Linked DNA regions of Saccharomyces cerevisiae S288C. The gene in region 2 interacts genetically with the main gene of each other region. Each region holds a gene or a part of one and is shown on either strand. Other genes may lie near its edges.

Region 1 (3,260 bases), on a different chromosome or scaffold from region 2:
CATATTTCACTTACTAATATATGTTGCGTTTTCATGCATCAAAAGTAGTTAGCAATGCTAGATCGTGTAAAGGAAAAAAAAGAGAAATAGTATAATTCGCCATCCTCATAACCACTGAAAAATCGAAGTTAACCAAAAGGAAAGTTGAAATGGAGGAAGTGTTCCGTTTTTACTCGAACTCTAGAAATATCTTCATTCATAAAAGCCTTTCATTAAAACCATCCACCATTGATGACCCCAAAAGTGGATATGGCCTTTTCGTAGAACCTTCGAAGTTCAAGAATGATGAATTGAAAAGTGAAACTATCCAATTGCTCCGAATCCCTAAGCGCTGCACGTTTAATATAAACACACTTCTGGCTCTCTTGGGAGATGAGGACGAATTTTCTTCAAAGGAAGAATTTCAAAGAACTAATGACAAAATTAAGATTGCTCTTCGTGAAATAATGGCTCATCCGAATTTCAGTGTGTTCCTGACAGAAACAAATTTACTCATAATTTATTTCATGATATTTCAAACTATTCGTAGTCGTTATGAGATTCCCGAAAATATCCAATATTATTTAGAAAATGTTTTAATGAGCATTGAAGTAGAAACAGCCATGGATTCTATTGAAAACTTAGCTACTGATTATGGACATTATCCACAGATTTTTGGCCTTCGAGAGACGCTAAATTTATTTAAAGAACTGTTTCACGACGTCTTGAATTTAAGTGATATCAAACATCTTTATTCTGCAATAATTTCACGTTGTTTAGAGATACCAGAAAGGGCCGATACCAAAAGTGAAGAATTCACGGTCCATTCTACTTTAGTCCCTATTGTAGATTTTGCCAACCATGAAGGCACCCAAAAAAATGCTTATTTTGACATCGACCCTTCAAATAATGACGTTTTACTTCTATTGGATACAAAAGCGGTCCAAAGTGAACTCACAAAACCTATTGAAGTTTTCATTAGTTACTCACCAACAGAGGATTTATTTTCCATGCTTGTAACATATGGATTCACCCCAGATTTTAGAGGGAATTCCCAATTTTGGACTGTATCCTTTGACAGGTGCTTTTTAAGAAACTATGATGGACCAGATAAAACTACAAATTTAAGATTGTTTTACAAATGGATGCACATAAATCCAGTGGTACCACTAGTTAAATACGAGCACAACGGAAAGACTCGCTGGTTTCTCAATGACACCACGCCTGAATTTGATATGCTTTTGCTCCCATTCATTCCATCGATAGATGATGGCAAAATTGCTCGGTGGGCGTACGATTCCACATGTCATTTGATGTTCACGAAAATCCATTGTCTGATAAATCCCGAGGCCAACGAACATGCGTTAATGATTGCAGAAAACTACCGCTCTCTCATTAAAGAGAAAGAGTCAAATGGTGACGATTTCATAAATTTACCGCCACTAGCTTGGTCATTGCGTTACAAAGATACAGAAAACGATTGTGTACGGCAAAGACATATATGCAGTGAAGATGCGGTCGCTGTACTTAAACAAGAAGAAATGCAAGACTCAACCAAAACCAAATCCCAGTTTACCAGTTTCTTTCGTAAATTTTTAGAGTTTCGTAGATCCAAAATTATTAGGCCTACCAGTGATTCAAAAGTTGCAAGCATATTATACCAGCAGGAACTGGAAATAATTGCTGACTTAGCAAAAGCTATCGATAGCAGCTCTACCATTTTTTTCAGCGATCTGAATGTTACATTGGACACCGAACCAGAACGGCTCCCCCCTCTAAGGTTTTTAGATGATTACATAGAGATCTCTGCGGATAAGCAGGAGCCAAGCCCAATTTGTGAGGATCTTTCTTATTATACACCCAGCAGGTTTACTGATTTTTTTCAAGAAGAGGTAAGCCAATATGCGGCTTTCTTTCAGGATGACTAGATGAGTACCACTTACGATCTTGTATATAAATGTTTTTAGTTGTCCTTTCTTCTACATTAAAAGCATCACAAAGAACAATCTGACGCGTTTTTCCACTGTCTCTTTCTCGCGTTTTATTCTTTTCCGTTTGAGACAAAAAAAGAGGAGCTTTGTAGTGTAATACTACTAGTTACTTAAGGGAACACATCAAGCATTCGGTGTCTCACAGGCTACTATGAAATATAATATAGTGCATGGAATTTGCCTATTATTTGCTATTACCCAAGCTGTAGGGGCTGTCCATTTTTATGCGAAGTCCGGGGAAACCAAATGCTTCTATGAACACTTATCCCGGGGAAACCTACTGATTGGGGATTTAGACCTATATGTAGAAAAGGATGGTCTGTTTGAAGAGGACCCTGAATCCAGTCTGACAATAACTGTCGATGAAACATTCGATAACGACCATCGTGTCCTAAATCAAAAAAACTCACACACAGGTGATGTTACTTTTACAGCTTTAGACACAGGTGAACATAGATTTTGCTTCACTCCATTCTACAGCAAGAAATCAGCCACACTAAGAGTATTCATCGAACTAGAAATTGGCAATGTTGAAGCGCTTGACAGCAAGAAAAAAGAAGATATGAATTCACTTAAGGGGAGGGTAGGCCAGTTGACTCAAAGGCTATCTTCTATTCGTAAGGAGCAAGACGCTATCAGAGAAAAAGAGGCAGAATTCAGAAATCAAAGTGAATCAGCTAACAGCAAGATAATGACGTGGTCTGTGTTCCAACTTCTCATATTGCTGGGCACCTGTGCCTTCCAGCTACGCTATCTCAAGAATTTCTTTGTCAAACAGAAGGTAGTATAATATACCATGTTTGTTATATAGAGTTTATATATCGCTCATTACGAATCGGTGCAATGAGCTCTTCGATATGAAATATTCCTTAGCTTAGTAATAAGAGTGACTTAAGCTGATGCCGTTGACTGCAAAAGGAAGTAAATAGAAGTCAATAACAATGAATGACTACCATCTCGAGGATACCACGTCTGAACTTGAAGCATTAAGATTGGAGAATGCACAATTAAGAGAGCAGCTTGCCAAGAGAGAAGACAGCAGCCGCGACTACCCATTATCTTTGGAAGAATACCAACGTTACGGAAGACAAATGATTGTTGAAGAAACAGGTGGTGTAGCAGGTCAAGTCAAGTTGAAAAATACAAAAGTTTTGGTAGTTGGTGCTGGAGGTTTGGGATGTCCCGCCTTGCCCTACTTAGCGGGCGCTGGCGTGGGCCAAATAGGCATAGTAGATAACGATGTGGTGGAGACTTCCAATTTGCATAGGCAGGTTCTTCATGATTCTAGCA
Region 2 (5,880 bases):
AGGTGGCATGTCACTTATTCGCCCGTAGTTACCAACGATCATTATAAATTAATTCTGTTAGCAGATTATGAAGTGAATCGTTTGGATGAAGATGTCATTAGAGCCGCTAAAAATAAGATGTCCATCGACCAAAAGGATCAAAAAGTTCAGAGGTTCGTGGCAGCTCATTATACTAGAGAATTTGAAACATCTCTTTTTAGGTGGGTCGCTCAAGAGGGCCACTTAATTCTTGGCGAGTATTCCACAGATCAAGGATCATTTGGATTGAATAATATCCCACCATTGACGGAAGAACTCGGGTGTCAGAGCCTGCTCATACATTACATAGAGTACATGAAGAGACAACGTAAAAAAATTGCGAAAGAGGCAAGGAGACAAAATAAAAGAAACGTTGCAAACACGACTAACATGAACATGAACCTCATGTAACAAAAGTTTGCGTATAATAAACCAGTATAGATGTGTAACTGTAATTTTTAACTTATCACAAGCTCGTTCCCTTCCTGCGTTGAAAAAGCGGGACAATGCCAGAATATAAAAAAAAGAAGAAACTTTAAACCCTGTCATATCTTGTCCGAGATCTCGTCGTTCTTGTTTAATTGATCTTCTTCGTATACTGCCAAAGGTGCCAAGGCACAAAAAAGTTTAAAGTGGCACGGGCTATTGCGTCACATAAAGCCCGTAGCGCAAAAAAGTGATAGCTGACTTCATTAGATCACCAAAATGGAAAAAACTTCGTGAAGATTTCTTTTTATCTTCCTCACAGTTTTTAACTTCCGGGTGTTATACTCTCCGTTTGAAAAGTTGATTTTGTTAACTTTCCTCTTTCCTTTTGGAGTAAAAACAATATCCTCGATAGGCAAGACCTTCCTGCACCGCTATGGCGGCCATTTTGATTTTTCTTTACTGTGGGAAGCAAGAACTTGTTCAGGCGCCTTCCTGGATAAGCCATCTTTTTTCAAACAGTTTCTTCTATACGATAGGAAAGTCGTTGGCCAATCGATTAATTAATTGAACAATAGGAGCCAAATAAGCAGGATATCTTCTTTCGTATACCGCCTGCCTCATTATTCAGAACAAACACGAGTGATCTGACACTATGAAGTTAGCAGTAATCCTTTCTAAGAGAGGTGGCCCAAAATTCGAATAAAATTAACTTTCCTTACCATTTAGCCTCTATCAAAAAGGTTCTAAAAAGTAATATCACACAGCCGAGCCTAGGACGTCACCTCTTTCCTACACAGTTGACATTACTTATGTACTCAAAAGGACGTATGTACCAAGGAAAGCATAGTTTTTATTCAAATCGAGTTTTTTATTCTTATATCCTGCTTAAAAGTGGTGATTAATGAGGAAAAAATGACAGCAAGAATGAAATAGTATGTAATTTCTTTAGATTTAGCGGTGCCCGTGCCTTCCACGCGCAACTGTTCTCTCTAATTTACTATTCGCTTTGAACGTAAAATGTGCTTTAGTTTCCCAGATGTAGCTCAAGTATTATACCATCTTTTGCACCTACTTTACTAAATTCATCTCAGGTATAATTGTATCGCATATTCTATTTTTTTTGACATTTAATGCAAAATTGTGTACCTTTCGTTAAGGCGAATTTTCTGGACCATGCGCAGATCTGATCCAAAATAAACTTTTTTTCATGAAGCTCGTTTGCGATCATTGCCTGTGAATTTAGCGAAGGTGTCAGTCCACGGCGACTTAGAACTCACGTAAAAATAAGCATCTTGCTAAGACTGTTCAGCAGTCAACAGTAAAGTTCTGAAAACATGTTTTCTTAGTCTCTATCTTTGCCCATGTTCCTCTCAAGTGGAACAAAGCTAAAAATGAAATATTAATTTTATATAAAGTCTCACTCACACCTGTGGTAATTTTGTTCCCTCAGATTTGTCAATGATTCTGTCATAGAAAAGGTATCCACAAGAAAGGGTAGCGCCGTATCAAAATGGGTTCATCTGGTTCAAAATCGACCACAGCCACTACCACATCGCATAGTAGCACGACTACTACTAGTAGCACAACCAGTACAACTACGCCTACTACCACTAGCACGACAAGCACGACAAGCACTAAAGTTACAACTAGCCCAGAAATTATTGTCAGTAGTTCTAGCACATTAGTTTCTTCTGTTGTACCCGAGTTTACTTCTAGCTCGTCGCTCTCCTCTGATACAATTGCCTCAATTCTATCATCGGAGTCATTGGTTTCCATTTTTTCTTCTCTTTCTTACACATCATCCGATATTTCTAGTACATCAGTCAACGATGTCGAATCATCAACCTCTGGCCCCTCAAACTCATACAGTGCGCTTTCCTCCACAAATGCACAACTGTCCAGCTCCACTACAGAGACTGACTCCATAAGTAGTAGTGCTATTCAAACATCTTCCCCGCAAACCAGTTCATCAAATGGAGGTGGTTCCTCTTCGGAGCCATTGGGAAAGTCCTCTGTCCTTGAAACTACTGCTTCATCTTCTGATACAACTGCAGTCACATCCTCCACATTTACCACGCTTACTGACGTTTCATCTTCTCCAAAGATAAGTTCCTCAGGATCGGCTGTCACTTCAGTTGGTACTACTTCCGATGCCTCAAAGGAAGTTTTTAGTTCAAGCACGTCCGATGTTTCTTCCCTACTATCAAGTACTTCCAGCCCCGCAAGCTCTACTATTTCTGAAACCCTACCATTTTCCTCTACAATTTTATCCATCACTTCCAGCCCAGTAAGTTCAGAAGCTCCATCGGCAACGTCTAGCGTAATTAGTTCAGAAGCTTCATGGGCAACGTCTAGCTCAGTGAGCTCGGAAGCTCCATTGGCAACGTCTAGCGTAGTGAGTTCAGAAGCTCCATCGTCAACGTCTAGCGTAGTGAGTTCAGAAGCTCCATCGTCAACATCTAGCTCAGTGAGTTCCGAAATTTCGTCAACAACATCTAGCTCAGTAAGTTCAGAAGCTCCATTGGCAACGTCTAGCGTAGTGAGTTCAGAAGCTCCATCGTCAACATCTAGCTCAGTGAGTTCCGAAATTTCGTCAACAACATCTAGCTCAGTAAGTTCGGAAGCTCCATTGGCAACGTCTAGCGTAGTGAGTTCAGAAGCTCCATCGTCAACATCTAGCTCAGTGAGTTCAGAAGCTCCATCGTCAACATCTAGCTCAGTGAGTTCAGAAGCTCCATCGTCAACGTCTAGCTCAGTGAGTTCGGAAATTTCGTCAACAAAATCTAGCGTAATGAGTTCAGAAGTTTCATCGGCAACGTCTAGCCTAGTGAGTTCGGAAGCTCCATCGGCAATTTCCAGCTTAGCAAGTTCTAGACTGTTTAGCTCTAAAAATACATCAGTTACTTCTACTTTGGTTGCTACAGAAGCTTCGTCAGTAACTTCTAGCCTAAGACCTTCTAGTGAGACATTAGCAAGCAATTCAATCATTGAAAGCTCTTTGTCGACGGGTTACAATTCGACCGTTTCTACCACAACATCCGCCGCATCTAGTACACTTGGATCTAAGGTTTCGTCAAGTAATTCCAGAATGGCCACTTCCAAAACCTCATCTACTTCCTCCGACTTGAGTAAGTCTAGTGTAATATTCGGCAATAGTTCTACCGTTACAACCTCTCCATCAGCGTCTATCAGTTTAACCGCATCTCCACTTCCATCGGTCTGGTCTGATATCACCTCTTCGGAAGCTTCATCAATTTCCTCTAACCTGGCTAGCTCCAGTGCGCCATCTGACAATAATTCCACCATTGCAAGTGCCTCGCTGATTGTCACCAAAACAAAAAACTCAGTCGTTTCATCAATTGTCTCTAGTATAACTTCTTCTGAAACTACAAACGAATCCAATTTGGCCACATCTAGTACATCGCTTTTGAGTAATAAAGCTACTGCCCGTTCTTTATCAACATCCAACGCTACAAGTGCTTCTAACGTTCCAACAGGCACATTTAGCTCCATGAGCTCTCATACTTCGGTGATAACTCCCGGCTTTTCCACCAGTAGTGCGTCACTCGCAATTAATTCAACTGTCGTTAGCTCATCATTGGCAGGTTATAGTTTCTCGACACCTGAAAGCTCTCCAACTACTTCCACTTTGGTTACTTCAGAGGCTCCTTCAACCGTTTCCAGTATGACCACAAGTGCCCCATTTATAAATAATTCTACCTCTGCTAGACCTTCGCCAAGTACAGCTAGTTTCATTACTGAATCCACTTCAAGCATTTCCAGCGTGCCATTAGCGAGTGGCGACGTCACTTCCTCATTAGCGGCCCACAATTTAACTACTTTCAGTGCTCCTTCAACATCCAGTGCACAACTTGTAAGCAAATCAACTACCTCTAGCTCCATCCTGGTCACACCCAGAATCGACAGGTCTGGAAATTCCTCAACTGCCTCTAGAATTGCAACATCACTCCCTAACAAAACTACATTTGTTTCTTCCCTAAGTTCAACATCCGCTCATGCCAGAAATATCTTTAATTCAACTGTTCTAGCTACTGCTAAACAAATTGAAACTTTAACTTCAACAGTCAATTGCAGCAACCCTACTCCTAATTACAACATAACCAAAACAGTAATCGTAAGTAGGGAGACTACTGCCATAGGAACTGTTACAAGTTGTTCGGGTGGTTGCACCAAGAATAGAAAGTCAACCACACTTATTACTATAACAGATATTGATGCTTCTACTGTTACTACTTGCCCAGAAAAAGAAGTAACATCGACCACAAGTGGAGATGAGGCAGAACATACCACTAGCACTAAAATAAGTAATTTCGAAACGTCCACGTTTTCGGAAAGTTTTAAGGATATGAAGACTTCTCAGGAAACTAAAAAAGCTAAACCAGGATCAGAAACGGTGAGGAGCTCGTCATCTTTTGTCGAAAAAACCTCACCAACAACAAAGGCTTCTCCATCAACTTCCCCATCAGAAAGTAAAGCTGCAGGAAATACATCCGTTGCAACGAATGCTTCACCATCAACTTCCCCATCAGAAAGTCAAGGTACAGGAAGCACATCTGTAGAGGGAGCAAAAAGCAAGTCAACTAAAAATTCAGAAGGAGTATCAACCACTAAAGCGAAAAACACATCAACTGTTGCGAAATCTTCAACTGAAAGTCCGATCGGGAGGGGTGAAACTACCCTTGAAACGATAATTGTCTCGAGCCAAAAGTCGCTATTAACATCACAACTAAGTTCATCCACTGAAAAGGTAAACAGATCTACCACCAAACCTACGGCAGCGATTCATGGAACATCCTCATCCGCTAAACAAAGCACAACATATACTGTCAGCACGGCAAAAGAAAATACCGGTGCATCCCTGAACATTAACATGAAAGCTTTTGTTATTGGCGCTATTGCTTTGGTAGCTTAGTAATATAGTTATTGTCCGATACCCTATGAACGTGCACCTTTTTTGTTAGTGTATTGATATGTGTTTCTTTTCACCTTAAAGGTGCTTAGCAAGGAGAAAAAGAGAAAAAACAAAAGAGAACTGTACGAGTTGTAAATATTTAAATAGTACCTTATAATCATAAAAAAAAGTTTCAAATGTAACCTATATCGATTAAAACAGCACTCCTATATACAGACCCAAAACATGGAGCAGTTAAAAAGAAAGGAGCTACATTTATCAAGAGCTTGACAACCTAGTCTGAAAATTCTTTGTCGTAGCCGACTAAGGTAAATCTATATCTAACGTCACCCTTTTCCATCCTTTCGAAGGCTTCATGGACGCCGGCTTCACCAACAGGTAATGTTTCCACCCAAATTTTGATATCTTTTTCAGAGACTAATTTCAAGAGTTGGTTCAATTCTTTGATGGAACCTAAAGCACTGTAAGAAATGGAGACAGCCTTTAAGCCATATGGCTTT

The links. A genetic interaction does not mean that the proteins touch.
Region 1: mutations in YMR317W (region 2) and ERP5 together harm fitness more than expected from each alone (negative genetic interaction), as found in Saccharomyces cerevisiae (2 studies listed by BioGRID).

What each region holds. Positions count from the first base shown.
Region 1 is NC_001140.6:330,161-333,420, forward strand, and holds ERP5 (Erp5p), read left to right. Parts: upstream 1-2,121; coding exon 2,122-2,760; downstream 2,761-3,260. Other genes in the region: CTM1 (cytochrome c lysine N-methyltransferase), read left to right, coding at 150-1,907; UBA4 (Uba4p), read left to right, coding at 2,912-3,260. UniProt on the Saccharomyces cerevisiae protein: Involved in vesicular protein trafficking.
Region 2 is NC_001145.3:905,407-911,286, forward strand, and holds YMR317W (uncharacterized protein), read left to right. Parts: upstream 1-1,957; coding exon 1,958-5,380; downstream 5,381-5,880. Other genes in the region: DIA1 (Dia1p), read left to right, coding at 1-429; YMR316C-A (uncharacterized protein), read right to left, coding at 256-567; ADH6 (NADP-dependent alcohol dehydrogenase), read right to left, coding at 5,655-5,880.